Linked DNA regions of Danio rerio. The protein of the gene in region 2 purifies or fractionates together with the protein of the main gene of each other region. This does not show direct contact. Links are inferred from orthologs where the notes say so. Each region holds a gene or a part of one and is shown on either strand. Other genes may lie near its edges.

Evidence for each region.
Region 1: the proteins of chtopa (region 2) and prmt1 purify together in Homo sapiens (affinity purification with western blotting; 7 studies listed by BioGRID and IntAct, with this or other methods). This does not show direct contact. The link is inferred for Danio rerio from reciprocal best matches to the Homo sapiens genes CHTOP and PRMT1.
Region 3: the proteins of chtopa (region 2) and erh purify together in Homo sapiens (affinity purification with mass spectrometry; 3 studies listed by BioGRID and IntAct, with this or other methods). This does not show direct contact. The link is inferred for Danio rerio from reciprocal best matches to the Homo sapiens genes CHTOP and ERH.

The regions. Positions count from the first base shown.
Region 1 is NC_133178.1:31,170,979-31,177,078, forward strand, and holds the start of prmt1 (protein arginine N-methyltransferase 1), read right to left. Parts: upstream 3,806-6,100; 5' UTR 3,715-3,805; coding exon 3,688-3,714; intron 2,709-3,687; coding exon 2,613-2,708; intron 2,522-2,612; coding exon 2,366-2,521; intron 2,234-2,365; coding exon 2,170-2,233; intron 1,797-2,169; coding exon 1,654-1,796; intron 1,548-1,653; coding exon 1,460-1,547; intron 1,368-1,459; coding exon 1,252-1,367; intron 1,166-1,251; coding exon 1,015-1,165; intron 910-1,014; coding exon 788-909; intron 1-787. UniProt on the Homo sapiens protein: Arginine methyltransferase that methylates (mono and asymmetric dimethylation) the guanidino nitrogens of arginyl residues present in proteins such as ESR1, histone H2, H3 and H4, FMR1, ILF3, HNRNPA1, HNRNPD, NFATC2IP, SUPT5H, TAF15, EWS, HABP4, SERBP1, RBM15, FOXO1, CHTOP, MAP3K5/ASK1, MICU1 and NPRL2.
Region 2 is NC_133194.1:26,305,980-26,312,058, reverse strand, and holds the end of chtopa (chromatin target of PRMT1a), read left to right. Parts: intron 1-2,492; coding exon 2,493-2,627; intron 2,628-3,774; coding exon 3,775-3,974; 3' UTR 3,975-4,610; downstream 4,611-6,079. UniProt on the Homo sapiens protein: Plays an important role in the ligand-dependent activation of estrogen receptor target genes. May play a role in the silencing of fetal globin genes.
Region 3 is NC_133195.1:36,360,411-36,366,510, reverse strand, and holds erh (enhancer of rudimentary homolog), read left to right. Parts: upstream 1-2,000; 5' UTR 2,001-2,131; coding exon 2,132-2,134; intron 2,135-2,743; coding exon 2,744-2,831; intron 2,832-3,123; coding exon 3,124-3,244; intron 3,245-4,627; coding exon 4,628-4,730; 3' UTR 4,731-5,216; downstream 5,217-6,100. UniProt on the Homo sapiens protein: May have a role in the cell cycle.

The DNA.
Region 1 (6,100 bases), on a different chromosome or scaffold from region 2:
CTTGTGGATCCAGACACGAACCTCCCTGTGGTGCGAGTTTTCTCCACTGTGGATTACCTTTGATAACTGCATATTATGCACATATAGACTGTAACCATGGCTGTTCTTCCCGTGTCACTCATCAGTGAACAGCACTTTTATGTCTAAAGCCAATCACAGCTGTTTCTGTCAAACGGGTGAAGACAATAACCAGTCATAGAGGCAAGACCTCACTCAACAACGCTCAAAGCAAGTGGGATAATATTTCCATAAGTTTATTGCCTAAAAATGCTCATGTTGTCTTCTGTGTATGTATTGGGAGTTTTGTTTGATACCTTGAAAAAGAGTGTTTTCTTTGAGCAGGTCAAATTAAAGGTACAGTTCATATATCTTACTTCTTGTATTAAAGGACAAAATTGTGTTACAAATAATATATAAATATTAATATATTTTCAGATTTTAATAAAAAAAAAAATAGTGTTGGGAGAAAAAAAAAAAAACTCATTTTGCACTGAGATATCGAATTAAACTGAATCGATGGCATGATAATCGTTACCGAACCGTGAGACCAGTGTAGGTTAACACCCCTAATTAATATTAAAGAAAGTGAAAACGTTTAGAAGTGATTAAGTTGTAATTTTACAATATAATTTCCAAATGAAGAGCTTTTAGACTTCATAAATTAGAAACTGGAAAAATGTTCAATTTAATACAGAAATCAACCCATTAAAATGGTAACAAGATATATATGACCATCCCTACACTTTCACTAAAGGTGCTAAAAGTAAGACGTGCACACAAGGCTCACATTATTCTTGACGTTGGGCTTCATGCTGATAGTGCCAAAGATCTCCTCTCCAGTCTTTACTGTCAGATAGTCATCAAGGTAGAACACAGTCTGCTTCCAGTGAGTGTAAGGAGACTCTGGGCCTGCAAGCAAAACTCACTTTAAACAGGGTTCAACCATCCTTCAATACAATAAACTCGTGGTGAATACAAAGTGATTTTGTGGTGAACACCACACACAGCACTTACTGGTAGAGAAGCCTGTCCTCTTGTGGCAGCGAGTGAACTCTATGTTGAAGTAGGTTACCAGAGCATGAATGTAGTCGTTTCTTTTCACCTGCAGGCAGAAAGGTGACGTGAAGGACAGGTCCTCAATCTTCACGGTGTAGATGTCCACCTCCTAAGGAATCAAGAAAACGTATTGAATATTAAATGAGGAAAGCAGGGATTATGTGAACATTGGAAAATAAAAGGTTGCAAACAAACCTTAATTAAGCAAGCAGTGCTAACAAGCTGTTTGGGATCAACAACATCCACCAGCGGCTCTGTAATGGCCACTTCCTTAATACAGGACATGTCAAATCCATACACGTTCTCCCACCCTAAAAAAGTGCAAATATGAAACAATTAAATGAGTTACTGCTTTAAAGAAAGCTGAACAGACTCAAGAGTGCATTAAGAGATTGATGCGTACAGTGGATTTTGTAATCCTTGTACTGCCGATCCTCGATAGCAGTGACATAGAGGGTGGCTCTGTCAGGAAAAATCAGGCCATCAGGTTTCTGAAAGCCAACAATGGAAAACGTGAACAGTGATTAAATCAAGAAAGCACATACGATTTTATACTGAACAGTTTCAACATGGTAAAAGACATTAGCATACACCCACCAGCCATTTGTCCCTGGCATAAATGACGGTGTTAAGCATGGATTCATAGAAGAGACAGTAGCCCATCCACTCAGAGATGATTATGTCTACATTTTCCACAGGAAGCTCGACCTCCTCCACTTTGCCCTTAATTATAGTGACGACTGGACAGGAAAAAGTACATGGTTAAAAATTTTAGGTACATAAAGAATAAAATGGGTATAGGCCAAAACTGTTAATCCAAAACTGAAAATGGTCATTGTTTAACCTCCCCTCACTCATTCTAAACCTGTGATTTTCTTCTGTTGAACACAAAAGATGATATTTTGAAGAAAGATGCAAACCTGTCACTACGGTTACCAGTTTACAGCTTTCTTCAAAATATCTTCTTTGGTGTTCAACAGGAAAAAAAGAAACTGATAGGTTTAGAACCACTTGAGAGGGAGTAAAACTTCATTTTTGGGTGAACTATCCCTTGAAACATGCTGAGAAAATAAGTTAACAATGAAGATGCCAAAAGCTCTGAGAAGGCCTTACTATGATCCAGCTTGTTGGCCTTCACAATCTTCACAGCATAGTCTGATATACTGCTGCACTCAATCTAAGGAATAAATGACCAACAAATTAATAAATTAATCTGACAATACACAGCATGATCAAATAATACCACATACAAATAAATGGCTTAAATGTAACAAAAATGCTTTAAATAAATCATGGGACTACTTCTCACCCCAATAACTTTCTTGGCTCCAGCTTTGGCTGCAAACATACAGAGGATGCCAGTACCACTTCCCACATCCAGCACAACTTTATCTTTGAAGAGATGCTTGTTGTGAAACATGGAGTTTCTGTACGTCAAAGTACGAACTTCATCTTTTAGCATCTCCTGTGAAGATTCAATGGGTTTACATTAATTATAAATAAATTAAATTGACTTCACCACTAATGCTGAGATTAATGAACTAACAAGAAAGTACCTCATGAATGCCAAAGTGTGCATAGGAATCAAAGTAATAGTCTTTGGACGTCATGTCTTCAGCTGCAGGTTTCGCTGAGCTCTCTCCCTGGGACACCTCAATTTCAATAGATAAGAAAAATGTAAATAAGCAAGTAAAGTCATGAGCTGGGCTTTTCTCAAACATTTGCAGTATCTTCAGTATATTAAAACAAACAAGCAAGCAATAAGGTACTAGTCAAGAGATGACCCAAAACATGTTTAAACCAAACATGCCAAGTGTAAATAACCCTGAGTAAACAGTGTTTTTACACAGAACTACATAAAGTCGGTGGCTTCCTCTGAATTTAGTTCCAACTTTTGGCAAATATCACAGCAGGCAATGAACCATTTTACACATTTTTTTTTAAAATGGATAGTTAAGCAAAAAAAGTCATATTTTATCTTCACACGCCTAACGTTAACCTTTGAAGAGTCCTCTTAAGCTTAAATTTTTCTACTTTTTAATTATACACATTTGAGGAAAAGTGGTCTAAAAGAAAACTTAGTCACGACGCAAGTACTAGATCATAGTAAACAATACAGGATGTTTTATTAAAAAACCCAATCACTGTGATTAGCAGAGAGGAAAAAAAAGCGTAACGTTAGCTCCTATCCATCAGTCCCATGCGGTCTCTGCCCAACAATAAGTCATTGAAGTCCTCCGCCAGCGTGCTCACGTGGAAACTGAACAGCGAGCTAACGGTAGCTAACATGACAGAAATATTCATACATTTAATCTCAAAATTCATCTGTGGTTACACTCAACAACTAAAAACTCGAAGCTAGCTCAAATTTAGCACATTAGCACTAGCATACACGTGATGCGAAATGAATGAATTATCTGCGGCAGGCTAAAATGGATGCTCAAGATGCGTGTGCGCACATTTCTAGCCACCTGATAACTACATACGCAGCAATCAAATCTGTTCACAGACCAAAGATTCGGAACCGGCGTGTGACGTAAATAAAATCGCCGTGTCGATTCTGATACGGTTACGAGATATTTAGCATCAGAAGCGTTTTTGGCGAACCGGCCTTGAGTAGCTTCAGCTTACCTCCATTCTGTCTGCCGTCTCCGCCATTTCGATAAACTGGACACAGCCGCGACTGCAGCAAAGCTCATGTAAAACACACTTGTTTTGCTCCCGCCTCTTTGCTGTGACTGTATGATTTGATTGGGTGACAATCACGTGGTTTTACAATAACCACACCCACTTTCCTGCGGCTCTTCGTCATAGGCTTTTCTACTATGCGTTTTTCCGCTCTTTTGATGCGTGACTGTCATTGGTCCAAACTGTAACATGATTATTATTTATTTATTTTATCTCAAATATTATTTTACAGAATTTTACTGTGAATCCAACATTTATTATTTTGGGTTGTAGATACAAATTTAATGTCTGCTTCACAATAAACCCTATTCTATTTTTATGTAAATTTTATATTCATTTATTCGTTTTCCTTCTGCTTAGTCCCTTTATTAATCCGGGGTCGCCACAACGGAATGAACCGCCAACTTATCCAGCAAGTTTTTACGCAGCAAATGCCCTTCCAGCTGCAACCCATCTCTGGGAAACATCCACACATGCATTCACACACGCACTCACACACTATGGACAATTTAGCCTACCCAATTCACCTGCACCGCATGTCTTTAGACTCTGGGGGAAACCGGAGCACCCGGAGGAAACCCACGCAAACGCAGGGAGAACATGCAAACTCCACACAGAAACGCCAACTGAGCCAAGGCTCGAACCAGCGACCCAGCAACCTTCTTGCTGTGAGGCGACAGCACTACCTACTGCGCCACTGCTTCGCCCTGCCTATATTTTATATTTATAAATAAAATTTTCAAATATAAAATCCACTTGTGTATTTTATACAAGAGATCAAAATTTACTTACAATTCCAGATTCACTTAACAAGAATGCACTCAAAACGTAAACAATTTGCACAACATGTGTAATCTATTAAATATCCCAATCTTTGTTATCTTTTTTATTTTGCCCTTTTTATTTTCAATTTCATTATCTGTTGCATCTATTCTCAGATTAGATAACCTATTGATATCATATTTCTTTGTTTTGATTTCTGTTGTTTTTTGTTCTTGTGTTGTTTCTTTATTGGTACCATTGTAAATAATATAATTATTATTGTAAATGTTATGTACCAAATGTATCTATATGTTGTACAATAAATATGAAAAAATATTTTATTTTGCACAAGTTTCTGTATTCCATTTTATTTCTGTTTATGGAACACAGTGGCTTAGTGGTTAGCACTGTCGTCTCACAGTAAGAAGGTCGCTGGTTTGAGCCCCAGCTGGGTCAGTTGGCATTTCTGTGTGAAGCTTGCATGTTCTCCCTGTGTTGGCGTTGGTTTCCTCCTGGTGTTCCGGTTTCCCCCATAGACCAAAGCCATGTGTTATAGGTGGATTGAATAAATTAAATTGGTGTAGTGTATGAGTGTGAATGAGTGTGTATGGATGTTTCCTGGTACTAGGTTGCAGCTGGAAGGGCATCCGCTGTATAAAACATATGTTGGATAAGTTGGCGGTTCATTCTGCTGTGGCGTCCCCTGATGAATAAAGGGACTAAGATGAAGGAGAATGAATGAATTATGGTTTCATTGTTTTCATGTAAATTTTATTAGTTGGACTTTTGTCAAGCTAATAGAAAAGCTTACAAAATCTTTTTAGGAAACCATCCTTTAGTCATGTGTTTTGTTCACAAAATAAACTATATGGTTATAATTATACAAAGTAAGCAAAGTTTGCAAAGTAAGCACATTTCTAAAAAAAAGAAGGCATTGATAAAATAGGAGACAATAATGATTATTTACAAAACAACATCTGGAGAAAATGGATGTTTGTACATTATCATACTATGGGATTTAGCTCAGATTAAGACCAATGTCCTCCTTGTTACATCTTCTATGAGAAAAAAAAGTTAGTTTGGTAATTTTTTCATTTTTCATACTTAACAGGAAATAATATTGTTTGGACAACATTCTTGAGAATATGATCTTGTATTTATGTATCATGGCAAACAATTTTTAAAGAACACCAGTGTGAGCAAATGGTGACACTTTTTCTTTGATGAATAGTTCCTATAAATCAAAGTTTACATTATATAACATTGTTCAGTTCCTGGTGAATTGTAACAGAGACCATACAAAAAGAAAATATATTTATTTACCATGTACAAGATGGTTATGCATCATCAAATATAGCTTACTTTGTTGAAAAAAACAAACATATTTGCAACGAATGCTGTAAACAAATCAAATGTGTAATTTTATTAATAATATATTCAACATATTTTATCTTTTTAATTTATTTATTTATACTGCAGTGGGTACCTAACTGAATTGGCCACCATTGTCCACAATAAACATATTTGATATTGCCTTAAATGCTAAATTTAATTAAAGAGATTTAGAAAATGCCTCAAAAACTGTAAGATTTAA
Region 2 (6,079 bases):
ATGAGTGAATGTGAAACTGCTGAACTGCAGTTAAAGTCACCCAAAATTACAAGAAACCCTTACATGAAAGCACTTCACGTAAGCACCCTAATTATGTTGTCTATTAAGGCAAAACTACATTACAGATGTTTGTGTAAGCGTAGTCAGTAGTGTCTTCGAAGTAAGTGAAAGATCCAGAAGGGCACTTTTTTTGTCAGACGGCTTACCGGTTTGACTTTCATTCACCGTCATTCATTTTAAAAAGCACCCGGTCCATTTTGTTTATATATGTTGTACTCTAACGCATAAACTCTACAGGTGCCTGATAGTTAGTTGTGGAGCTAGCATTAATCAGATTCACACTGCATCCATGTTAGCTTGTCATGTTTGATGTGGTAATTTCAGAGTAGAAATACACTGGTTTGAAGACTCGTTCTCGCCACCCACAGTGCAATTCCGCCAAGTAAACATCAACGCTAAAATATCAAGGTAAAAGTCATCATAGCTTGTGTAGAACAGATCCAGCTCCCAACCCAACTTTGAGAACAGACTAACAGCTAAACAGTGACTAACAGTGTTTGTTTTTTAAATCACCTGATGGGAGTCTCGCGTTAACGCTGATAACGCCCACCACTTTATATAGGGTGTTCGCGGGGTCTTAAAGTATCAAAAGTAGATCAATCAATTATGAGATAATTAAGGCCCTTAAAAGTTACTAAAAAAATCTTAATCGCATTTTGTTCTCCAAAGTGTACCAGTGTAAATATATTTATTTTTCTCCTAATATTAACAATAGCGTGCCAGTTCCACACGATTGGTTCGGGCCGGGACACGTCCGGCCAAGCTTCTCTGTCCGGGTGGTGACAAATGCAGGACGGTAATGTGACACTCTCTACATGTAGAGAAACAGGTGGTAAATAGGAAAATGTAAGTTTGCATACTCCTGGTTGAAGAAAGTTGAGTTTAAACAGTGGCTCAATCCTGTCTCTGAAAACAACCCTGTAATTTATTCTTTCAAGCTTGGTTTCTTCCGAGCTTATCTGAATTCTGTTGCATGGTTGATTTAACTACAACTGTTTATTAAAGGTGCAGTAGGTCATTGTCTTCAGAAGCATTTTTTGTTGTGCTGGTTCAAAGTCTCTTCACAGTCTAATAGTAATGATTACAGTAAATGATCTAAATGTATTTATATGTATTTTTATATTTTGGGTAAGGCATAAAACAAAAAAATGTTCATCCTATTAAATGGAGTCCGACCGACATCTCTCAATTCCGATAAGTAGCACAATCTCTTTGCAAGCAAATGCAGATTTGAACAACTGCGCAGCTGTTTGTACGCATCTCCGCCGACTGAGATCGGTAAAAACATGCTGAATCAAAACTTTTTAAAAACCTGAATCAGTATTGGAGTTACCTTTGCATGCTGGAGAAAGGATGACAACATGTCTGAAAGATTTCTCTTAGACAAGTAATGTTCTGTTTTAAAACTGTTTTAACTTCACGCAAAGCTGATGTAACGTTGTTACAAATGGGTTAAATCTTAACAGAAATGTTGTTCAGCTACTAAAATATTTCGATGAAGGACTGATGAGACTATTTTCAGTTTCATAAGAGACCTTTTACAGCATCGATGATGTACATTTTATTTAGTTTAACAACTAAACACAAGTAAATACAGCTAAACGCCTAGTCTCTCCCTATATTGTTTACCATGCAACTCTAAATATTCCCTCTAAAATCGCATGTCAGTTTGGCTTGCACGCCGCCGGACAAGCACTAGTTGTTTTTAACACATGAGAGAGGGTTCTTTTGCGGTGCTCGTGTTTCAGGAGGCGTAGCTCTTAGACGGCAGGGGAGGCACTGTGATTCAGAGATTTATGCTAAGCTGTTAGCATTGTAGAAGATCACCTACTGCAACTTTAAGTTAAAGGTTTGATACTGATTAGCACTTGCAGTAGTGATGAGGTCTTAAAATATTCCGAGAAGGTCTTTTAAACCGTTTTAAAAAGGTATTGAAATTACCTTTTAGGATTCTTGCATATACCCTGTTATAGCTCTTGGACCAGGGTGAGATCAACCCACACTTTCTCCAATCCCTGGGGCTCTATGATGGTTGTGGATATTTCAAATTGAATCATAACAAATGATTACAATTGACTGAGATTGTCATTGAACGTTCGCAAATGTGCTTTAACTGGCAGAGCAGCAAAATCTCTCTCTCTCTCTCTCTCTCTCTCTCTCTCTCTCTCTCTCTCTCTCTCTCTCTCTCTCTCTCTCTCTCTCTCTCTCTCTCTCTCTCTCTCTCTCTCTCTCTCTCTCTCTCTCTCTCTATATATATATATATATATATATATATATATATATATATATATATATATATATATATATATATATATATATATATATATATATATATGATCAGACCTGCTTAAAGAGAACTATTGCATGCATCCCACAAGTGTTTTTTCTTTTCTTCTTGTGAAAAGATTGCTCTTTTTTTTTTTTTTTCCTAGGTGCAGGTCAGATGAGAGGTAGAGGTGGTCCTGGACGCATGGGTTTCCGCCGAGGGATGCGTCATCGGGGAGGAGCTCCAGGACGAGGAGCTCTAGGAGGTCGAGGTGCAGCACGTGGAATGCCTGGAGGAAGAGGTGAGAAATATTAAGCACAATTCTGCCAAGTACAGGGTTCTTACGGGTGCTGGAAATCCTGGAAAATGCTTGATTTTTAATATAGTGTTTTTAAGGTTAGAAAAGTGCTTGTGTTTTGAACAAAGTGCTTGAACCTGCTTGAATTTGAACTTAAAGGGCTCAAAATTGTGACCGTTTTGGTTGCATATGCGCACGATTTTATCTATGTGACCTCGAAATATATTTGGAAGCATGTGTGCTAGTGCATAAATTGTTGTCGTGCGACCAGTTTTCATTGCAAAATGTTCACCGCATGCGCGTATTTATGGAGCTAATAATAAGCCAAAACATTCTGAATCTGAATGTCCTATTAAAAAAAGTTTTGAATTTGTATTTCTTAACTTGATTATTGAACATCTGAAAACTTAATATTTGAAGTCAGATTTTTATAGACATTTTTAAACTTCAGATTTTTTTTGGGTTCTGAATTCATGCAGATATTGGGTATGTAAAAATAAGACTGCAGATATTGGGTATGTAAAAATAAAGTTTTACGTTTTTAGGAATTCAAATTAACAATTCAAATTCGGATAGTTTTGGCACTATTAGCTTCATACGTATTTTGGAGACATTCATCCAGAATGCATCTTTTGCACCTGAAATGCAAAACCAAAGACTGTAAAAAAAAAAAATAGTGACTGGTCCTGAAAGTTTGGTACTACACCCAAACAAAATCTGACTGTAAGCTCATTTCTTAAGATATCAACTTTAGGTAGAAAGAGGCCAAACTTAAAAACATACTTCACCCAATAACTGAACATTTTTTTATTTATTTTTTAATCACTTTTGGGTGAACTATCCCAATAAATCTATGCTCTAAAGTACTCAATTTAAGTTGAAATGTCATATCGTGTGGTTTTTAAAGTAGCACAATGTATTTAAATGTGAAAAAGTACATACAACATGTATAAGTGCAATTAATTATTACTATTAGGTGCTGGAAAAGCATGCAAATGCACCTTGAAAGTGCTTGAAAAGTGCTGGAATTTGAAGTTGGAAAAGGTGTAAGAACCCTGCTAGTAGTGTTTTCAGTTTTGCTCTAATCAGTGAAACCCATACAAAAAGCATTTTCCATCTCACCATACTAAAGCATTTCGTTCTCTCTTAGGCCGTGGAGGTATGAGAGGCCGTGGAGGGTTTGCTGGAAGGGGTCGTGGACGTGGCAGAGGCAGAGGAGCAGGTCGTCCCATCGTCACACGCGAGCAGTTGGACAACCAGCTTGATGCGTACATGTCTAAAACCAAAGGCCATCTGGATGCAGAGTTGGATGCGTATATGGCCCAGGCAGATCCTGAGAGTATGGAGTAGACCCTGTTGAGCTGAGACACAGCAGCTCCCAAAGATCTGCAAATAATAGACTGATCGATGACATAATCATCCAGTACCGTTTAAGCTTCCGCTGCTGTTGGACACTCCCTAAGACATTTACATTTTAAGGCGTTCAGACTTGAAGTTTGTACAAAGTTATGAATTTATCCCAGTTACATTCAGAGATTTGAGAGTTTTCACTCGCGGCTTCTGAATACAATCACAAATCCTCATCACAAGTTATAGTTCTAAAACAGAGGGCCTGTTAGGAAAAATGTTGGCTGTTAAGTGAAGGAATTTTGTTGTTGATTGAACTGTAATAAGAGATTGTACCTCTGCTATTTTTGGCTGAAATTCTGAAAATGGCCTAAATGTGTGAACAGTGAACTCCAAATGACATTTGATGACTCTGTGGTAAAAATGTGGCTTGTGTAAATGAACAGATGTTAATGACTGTAATGTTCTACACGTCACTTACCTTTTTATTATTATATTTTTATTTAGTATTTTTTAAGGTAGAACTTTTATTCATTACATACAGTCTTGTTTTTGTCAAAAAATGTTTTAACTATATTGTAACCCACAAACTTTTTTTTCTTTTTTCTTTTGGCATCGAATAAATCTTGGCTAATAAGATCTTGTGCTCTGGAGGACATTATCATTCTAGACATTCATTTTCATCACCGGGAAACATCCATCCATACATATACACGCATACTCTGCGGCCAATTTAGCTTACCCAATTCACCTGTACCGCATGTCTTTGGACTTCTGGGGCAAACGAGAGCACCCGGAGGAAACCCATGTGAACATGGGGAGAACATGCAAACGCCACACAAAAATGCCAACTGACTCAGCTGAAGCTTGAAACAGGGACCTTGCTGTGAAGTGATTGTGCTACCTACTGTGCCACTGTGATGCCCTCTTTCTAGACATCATTAACATGAATGATCATGTGGTATTCACTTTTTTTCTTCTTTTTTTCTCTTCTCCAACATGTTTTAATTTTAGTCTAAAAAGTAGATACAAAAGTGGTTTATGTATGCTTATTAAAAAATGTATAACTTTTGTTTCTGCTTATTTGGTAATAAAAAAAATCATTTGAATGTTTAAATTGTGCATGCTGCATTTCTCTCAATAGGTAGATAGATGCGTAAACTTGGGTACTGTGTGTGTGTGCGCAAGGAAATAAATGCAGCATTCAAAATTCAAACATTTTCCTTTGGCTTATACCCTTAATTCATCAGGCGTTAGCACATTGGAATGAACCGCCAACTTATACAGCATGTTTTGCACAGCGAATGACCTTCCAGCTGCAACCCAGTACTGGAAAATATCCAAACACACTCATTCGCACATTCTCTACGGCCAATTTAGTTTATTCAATTCACCTATAGCGCATGTCTTTGGACTGTGGGGAGAGAACATGCAAACACCACACAGAAATGCCAACTGACCCAGCCGGGAATAGAACTAAGGACTGAGCCATTCTCACCCCTAAAATATTAATAAAAAAAAAGTATATTTATGTAGTCAGAAGCTTTGACTGGAGGGTATAAATCAATTTGACTTGCATGTAAATGTATATTTGGTAGTCGGCTTGCATGTTTATTTTTATAAAATTTTGATTTGTATTGCATTATGTACATATATTTTATGTTACTATTTTTTTTTTTCTTAAAATATATCACCAAGGGTGGATTTAGCAGTTTGGGGGCCTCAAGCAACAAAAAAATAAAGTCATTTGAATGTTTAATATTGGGGCCCACGTCTTGAAATGCACCCTTTCTGCTTTTATTTAATGTTTATTTAATTTTATTTATTTATTCTATTATCTTCTTTTCTATATCTTATTTTAATCTCTACATTTTAAATGATTAGTTTTCTTAAAGTAAATAAACAACTTAAATTCATATATATATTTTAAATAGATTTGACTGCCGGACTTCTCCATGATTGTGAGTGGTGGATATTTTATTTTAGAATATTATTATTACATTACATTATTATAATAATGTAATATTTTAGTATGTATTAAATATTTTTTAATTATGTAAGATGTATTTGTTTGACCCTTACAATACAAAATATGATAGAAAGCTATG
Region 3 (6,100 bases), on a different chromosome or scaffold from region 2:
ACATTTAATAAAATTATTAAATAGTTTCAAATATTTATATTTATTCAAATATTAAGTGACGTTTAATGAAGAGGCGATCATCTTCCAACATGCTTTAAAACTTTTGTCTTTGTATGTGCTGACAGAATCTTTTAGTTATTTTGAAAGATGCTTTTATACTTTGCAAAGGTGCAGTATGTAAATTTATTGAGCTGTATTACATTCCTGGATCAAAACAAACGCATGCGCAGGTTATTAGAGTGACGACCAATACAGGCGAGTCTGACTGTCTAGCCTAAAGGCTGATTTAAACTGCGTTCTATACAAAAGCTACGTAATAGAAGGATAGAAGGAATATTATTCATTTATTTTGTCCTAACAAACTCCTTCAATTGATAAATTAGAAACAGTTTCTATATCTTGCAGCTGAACAACAGAAAACTTTGACAATGGTCACCTCATGTGCTTTATTCAGTGTTAAATGTTAACAATGTGAGTTTGGATGGCATTTTACATGACATCTATTGCCATATACTGAAAGCAGCAGCAGATAGTTCACCTCAGATATTGAAAATAAAATAAACTGATTGAACTTTAGAATTGTGACTCAGTGCAAGACAACACAAATGAGTGATTCAGCATCTACATTTAATAATGTCAAAGAGGTTTAATATGTATTAAATAGATTTTTTAAAACTTACCTTTTCATGAGTGAGTACATATTCTGTGCCTCTAAATGTCTTTATTTAAATTTCTTTCATGTTTCTTCTGGTGCAAACAGCTAAATTGCTAATAACTACTAATCTTGTCATGTAGCATGTTGTTAGGGCATGCGGTTACAATGTAACCTGCTCACCTAATGTTTACACTCGTAATATTTATATTATTTGCAAATTAATAACCTCATGTGGAACTGAATCTGCGTCTCATTCCAGAGTCTGCTACTTTCTCACGGAGGTAGCGTTGTGGTCATGGAACCATGCTTTGAGAGCCTTTCTGAATGAATGAATGAGTTACTGAATGAATGAATGAATGAATGAATGAATGAATGAATGAATGAATGAATTGCTCCGTTTTTCACCAAGGCAACCCGGGGTGCTAAAATATAATCTAAAGTTGCAATAGGTGGGTTAAAATAACCAAAACAGAGACAGACGTTCCGGCACATAACTTACATTTACAAAGCAGAATATCTGACTTTAACATTGTTTTTCAGATAAACAAGAATGTTCATGTGGCATGTTTACTAAACATCTGCAAACATATTATAGTATTTTTATGCTTTAGAAGAGTCAAAACATACAGTACTTTTAAACTACGATTTAAAGGCTTATCAAAAGTTATTTATTAGTTTTACATTCGACAAGTTATCAAGACAAGCAATCAATCAAAAACAAAATGCTAATAATTCACATCTATATCACAAGTAAGCTAATAATACTGACCCTAAAATTATTATTATTTTTTTATTATTAAATTAAAAATATATATAAATTAGGTACAAATGTGTGACAATAAGAATTTATAATTTTGTAAACCATTGTTACAGATATAACATTTTGATGATAAAAACTATACTATGTATTTGTGATGTAGGTTAAAATTACAGGATAAATAAAATAAAATCATTAAATTATAAAAATTTAAATATAGAAATATTTGTAAATAATATTGTAAAGCCTATTTCTAATATTTAATTTTTATTTATGTGTGTGTGTGTGTGTGTGTGTGTGTGTGTGTGTGTGTGTGTGTGTGTGTGTGTGTGTGTGTGTGTGTGTGTGTGTGTACGTGTGTGTGTACAAAATTTAAACAAATATTTGTAAACAGTATTGCAAAGTCTTATATACATCGTTTATCCATAAATAATAGTAAATAGGCTGACTTCTTTTTCACTTGCAGTCATTTGAATATTACATCAAAATAATGAATACAAAATATGAAGTAAAAATTATAAGTAATGTCATTAACGACAAAAATAAATACCATTTCCGTAACAGTGAAAAAGCTTTTATCTTGAAAAGCCAACGCTTCGCCTACACCGGAAGTGTGATCGTTTCTTGAACATTCCTGCTGTTTCCTTCGCTGCTAACAGTGAATAGCCGTCAGTGGTTACCCCAGCGTTCAACGCCACTTTTATACATCAGGACCAGATATGGTAAGTATTTTGTCGATGTTTTTTCTACTCGTATATATCCTTAGACAGCCACCATATCAGAAAAATCGCGTTTCACCGACTGCTCCAACACATTCAACAAAAATAAAAGTGAACGAACGCGCGCGGCTAGCAGTGTGTTACGAGAGAACGTCGAATAATCCTCAACACAGCGAGCTTTCATGTGTCTCGAAATACCACACATGCAAAGTTAGGTTCTTTGTTGAAAGTTCGACCGGAACAAACTCCTGTTCAGCTTCAGTATTGGTAATATCAGTGTTTGTGAGGAACATGTAGTGTTTTAGTTTGGGGGAGGGTTCGAGTACAACAGCTGCTGTTTTCTGGGTATTGTGTCAAAGCATCCATATCAGCTAACGTTATATTCCCAAAGTGTATTTAGTTCATACGTCAAACATGAATAACTAAACAACACGTCATGTTTTTGAAATGAACGCACGATTAATCTCACTGTCAGGAGCCAAAGCTGTGTTCCTGTCAGTAGGGGGCTCCACGCAATTGTTTAATTCGTCGTCTAGATATGTAGTGTTTCTAACTTTTACTTGATTTATGATATAAACACAATAAAATGTTTTTTTCTTTATTATCGTTCAGTCTCACACAATTCTGCTGGTGCAGCCCACCAAGAGACCAGAAGGCAGAACATATGCAGATTATGAGTCTGTCAACGAATGTATGGAAGGTAGGATAATTCTTTTCTTTGTGTGTGTTATAAACAATTATAATGCTTTAAAGGGATAGTTCACCCAAAAATTGAACTATTGACCATAGTAGAAAAAACAAAAACTATGGAAGTCAGTGGCTTTAGGATTTCACCTCTCTTTAAAATGTCTTCAGAAAGTAAGAAACTCAAACTGGTTTTGTAACTGTGAAGAGAAAACAAATTTTTTTTGGGGTGAACTATCTTTATTGTACACTGAATATTGCACTACTACTTTTAATGCGTGTTTAACCATTTTCCTTCTTACCAAAAGGAGTGTGTAAGATGTATGAAGAGCATCTGAAGAGAATGAATCCCAACAGTCCCTCCATCACATATGACATAAGCCAGTTATTCGACTTTGTTGATGATCTTGCCGATCTCAGCTGTCTTGTGTAAGTAATCACACTTTTCACTTGACAAAGCCTAATGTCTAAGGTCCCGATTACACTAAAAAGTTTTAGTTTTAAAACGCATAAGTTTTGCTACAGTGACGTCTTCCGTTCAGATTACCCCAGAGTTTTAGATCATTGAAAGCGGAGTGTTTTGGAAATGCTGAAGAGGTCGCTTTTGTGTTAACCCTTTAACTGTCTGCTCTATCAAATGGTTGACCATATTTTGATTGTTTTAAATTAAGGTTTACACAAACAGCATTGTTGCTTTACAAAAAATCTAACAAACATAATCCTCTTGCACTACTACACTTAGTTTTGATTTTATTGTAAAAAGCAAAAAAAAGAAATCTTGAATTATTTAATAATAAGAAATATTGTATGGCATACTTAAAAAAATAAAGATGATTCAGTATTTAAAATGTTTTATTTAAATTGTTTTAAAATGAGTCATATTGTTATAAATTAGTCTTACACTTCATGTTTTTAGAATTTTTATAGTATGTGTATTGATTCTTAGTACTTTTACCATAAACCAACATATTATCCACTTGGTAGCGGTTGATATTTTTAAAATTATGGGATGTGATGGGGAAAAAATGCATCGAGTGTGTTAACTTTAGAATTTAAGAAATGCAATCCCAAGAAAAAGTTCTTGGTGGGGAAGTTAAAGTGTTAAAATACTGCTGAAAAATAGAGGCTCAAAACGGATCGGATTCAGGCCTTTTCCCAATATTAAATGCAATATTAAGTTCAGTCTTGCATCCTTTCCTTGAAAGTTCAGACTTTGCAAGTTTTATATGGAAAACTACCTCCTGAGGACACGTCGGGTAAATTTTCAATGGGAACAGTGTACTTTATAACAATCACAGCGTTCATATAGTCATTCATGTCACTCTGACTACGCTGCTTCACTATCTTAAAAAATCAATGAAAACATGATATAAGGATTTAAATAGACACCAAAAATGTTCAGGCATCGTATAGCTACATACTTGTATTACTGTCATCTTCACAGTATGCATATTTATAAGAAAACGGAGCCTGTAGACCCATAGGTTTCCAACCTTTTTTGCCTGAGACCCCCTTTTCTGCTGGAAAATATAGTGAGGCCATCCTCAACATTTAATGATATTATCGCTCATATAAGTTTGCAGTAAGGATGACAAAAAATGTTGCTTTCAAAAAGACTGTATGACTGTATCTCAAAAAGACTGTACTATTATCTCTCCTCCTTGGCGAAATTCTAGGCAAATGGCCAGTGTGGATGTGGATAGTTTTTGTTGTTAATTGCCGTTTTAAAACTAAAACATATCGGTGTAAACAGGGCCTATTAAATGCTCATGCTCGTCAATCATGTACAATTGTCTTTAATTATTTGAACAGGTACAGAGCGGACACACAAACCTACCAGCCTTACAACAAAGACTGGATCAAAGAAAAGATCTATGTGCTGTTGAGGCGTCAGGCCCAACAGGCTGGAAAATAAAGACGGTGGAATTATTGAACTAGTCCCCAACTACGCTTCATCACAGGACAGACGTGGCTGAACTGAACAGTGAATTGATGCCAACTGGTTCAGATTTTGTTGAATGCATGTCCTTTGAGTTATGTCAAAAGCATAGAGTGAAAATATTTTGCATTTTAAATCACATTTTTGTAACTTCGGAGTTCGGGACTTGGGTTATTTATCGGGCTAGAGGGTAATATTGGGGAAAGAAAAGTTTTAGGATTTTTTTCGTTGTTGTTGCTCCCGATCCCTCCCAATTAATGATGTTTTATATTGTGGATTTATTTTTGATTTAGTAAAGTATAACATTTACACATTTCAGATGTTGTTGAGATGGTTCCGAGTTATTCTTATATCCCAACTTTTGTCCTCTGTGTTGTTAAAGGTTTTGTTGGCCCTCTCTGATTTGTGCATCCAGTAGTAAAAACTGGCAAACAATAAAATTCTTCTCAAAAAACGTGGAAATGTCAGTGCTTTTTTCTTTTTTTCTTAGCCTAAAGAGCCCATATTATGGGTTTTTGAAAATTCCCCTCCATGTAGTGTGTAACACAGCTCTAAGTGAAGTGGAGTATCCAGCTAAGGCTTAAATCTGTTAGTGTACAGTGTTAAAAACGGTTGATTCATCTAAAAAAGAGTCGACTCATAGTGCTTCAAACGAGTCGCCTTGATACGGATTCATTAGGTGTTTCGCCATGACGTACGAACGAAACCAAGTTATTCACGTGCACGCGCAAACCCGGGAGATTTCAAACCTGAGGCCCCGCCCTCTGACGCAGAAACCGAGACACACACACACACACACACACACACCCACAAACACACACACACACAAACATGCCGGTCGATTGAAGTCACACTGCAGATGGATATATTGAGTCTCTACCCAAAGATGAAACCTCAGCATTATAGCCAAGCAGTTGGAAACTACTGGAAACTTCTGGAAGCTACATGCTACAAAGAATACTTCATCAGCGTTTGTTAAAGGAAGGATCAGTAACTTACTGATAGACGTCAGGATGGGTTTCTTCCTCCATTTCTCAAGTGTAAGTACGTGCGATTAAAGTTGCCTCGTTGACTCTAGCTTGCAAATGTATTTAGTTGTGATTTGTTACTTGTAACCGCGTGTACTGTATGAGGTTAACTGGCTATATTCTCTTATAGTGTGCAAAGTCACGTTAAAAACGCGACGCGTGCTGCGTTAACGGAGCTCCGTGGACGGGGAGTAACGTTAGTGTGTGTGTCTGTGTGTGCGTGCGCGCGCTGTCGTCCGGAGGTGTGTGTGTTTGTGTGTGTGTTTGTGTGTGTGCGTGTGTGTGTGTGTGCGCGCGCGTTGTCGTCCGGAGCAGGGT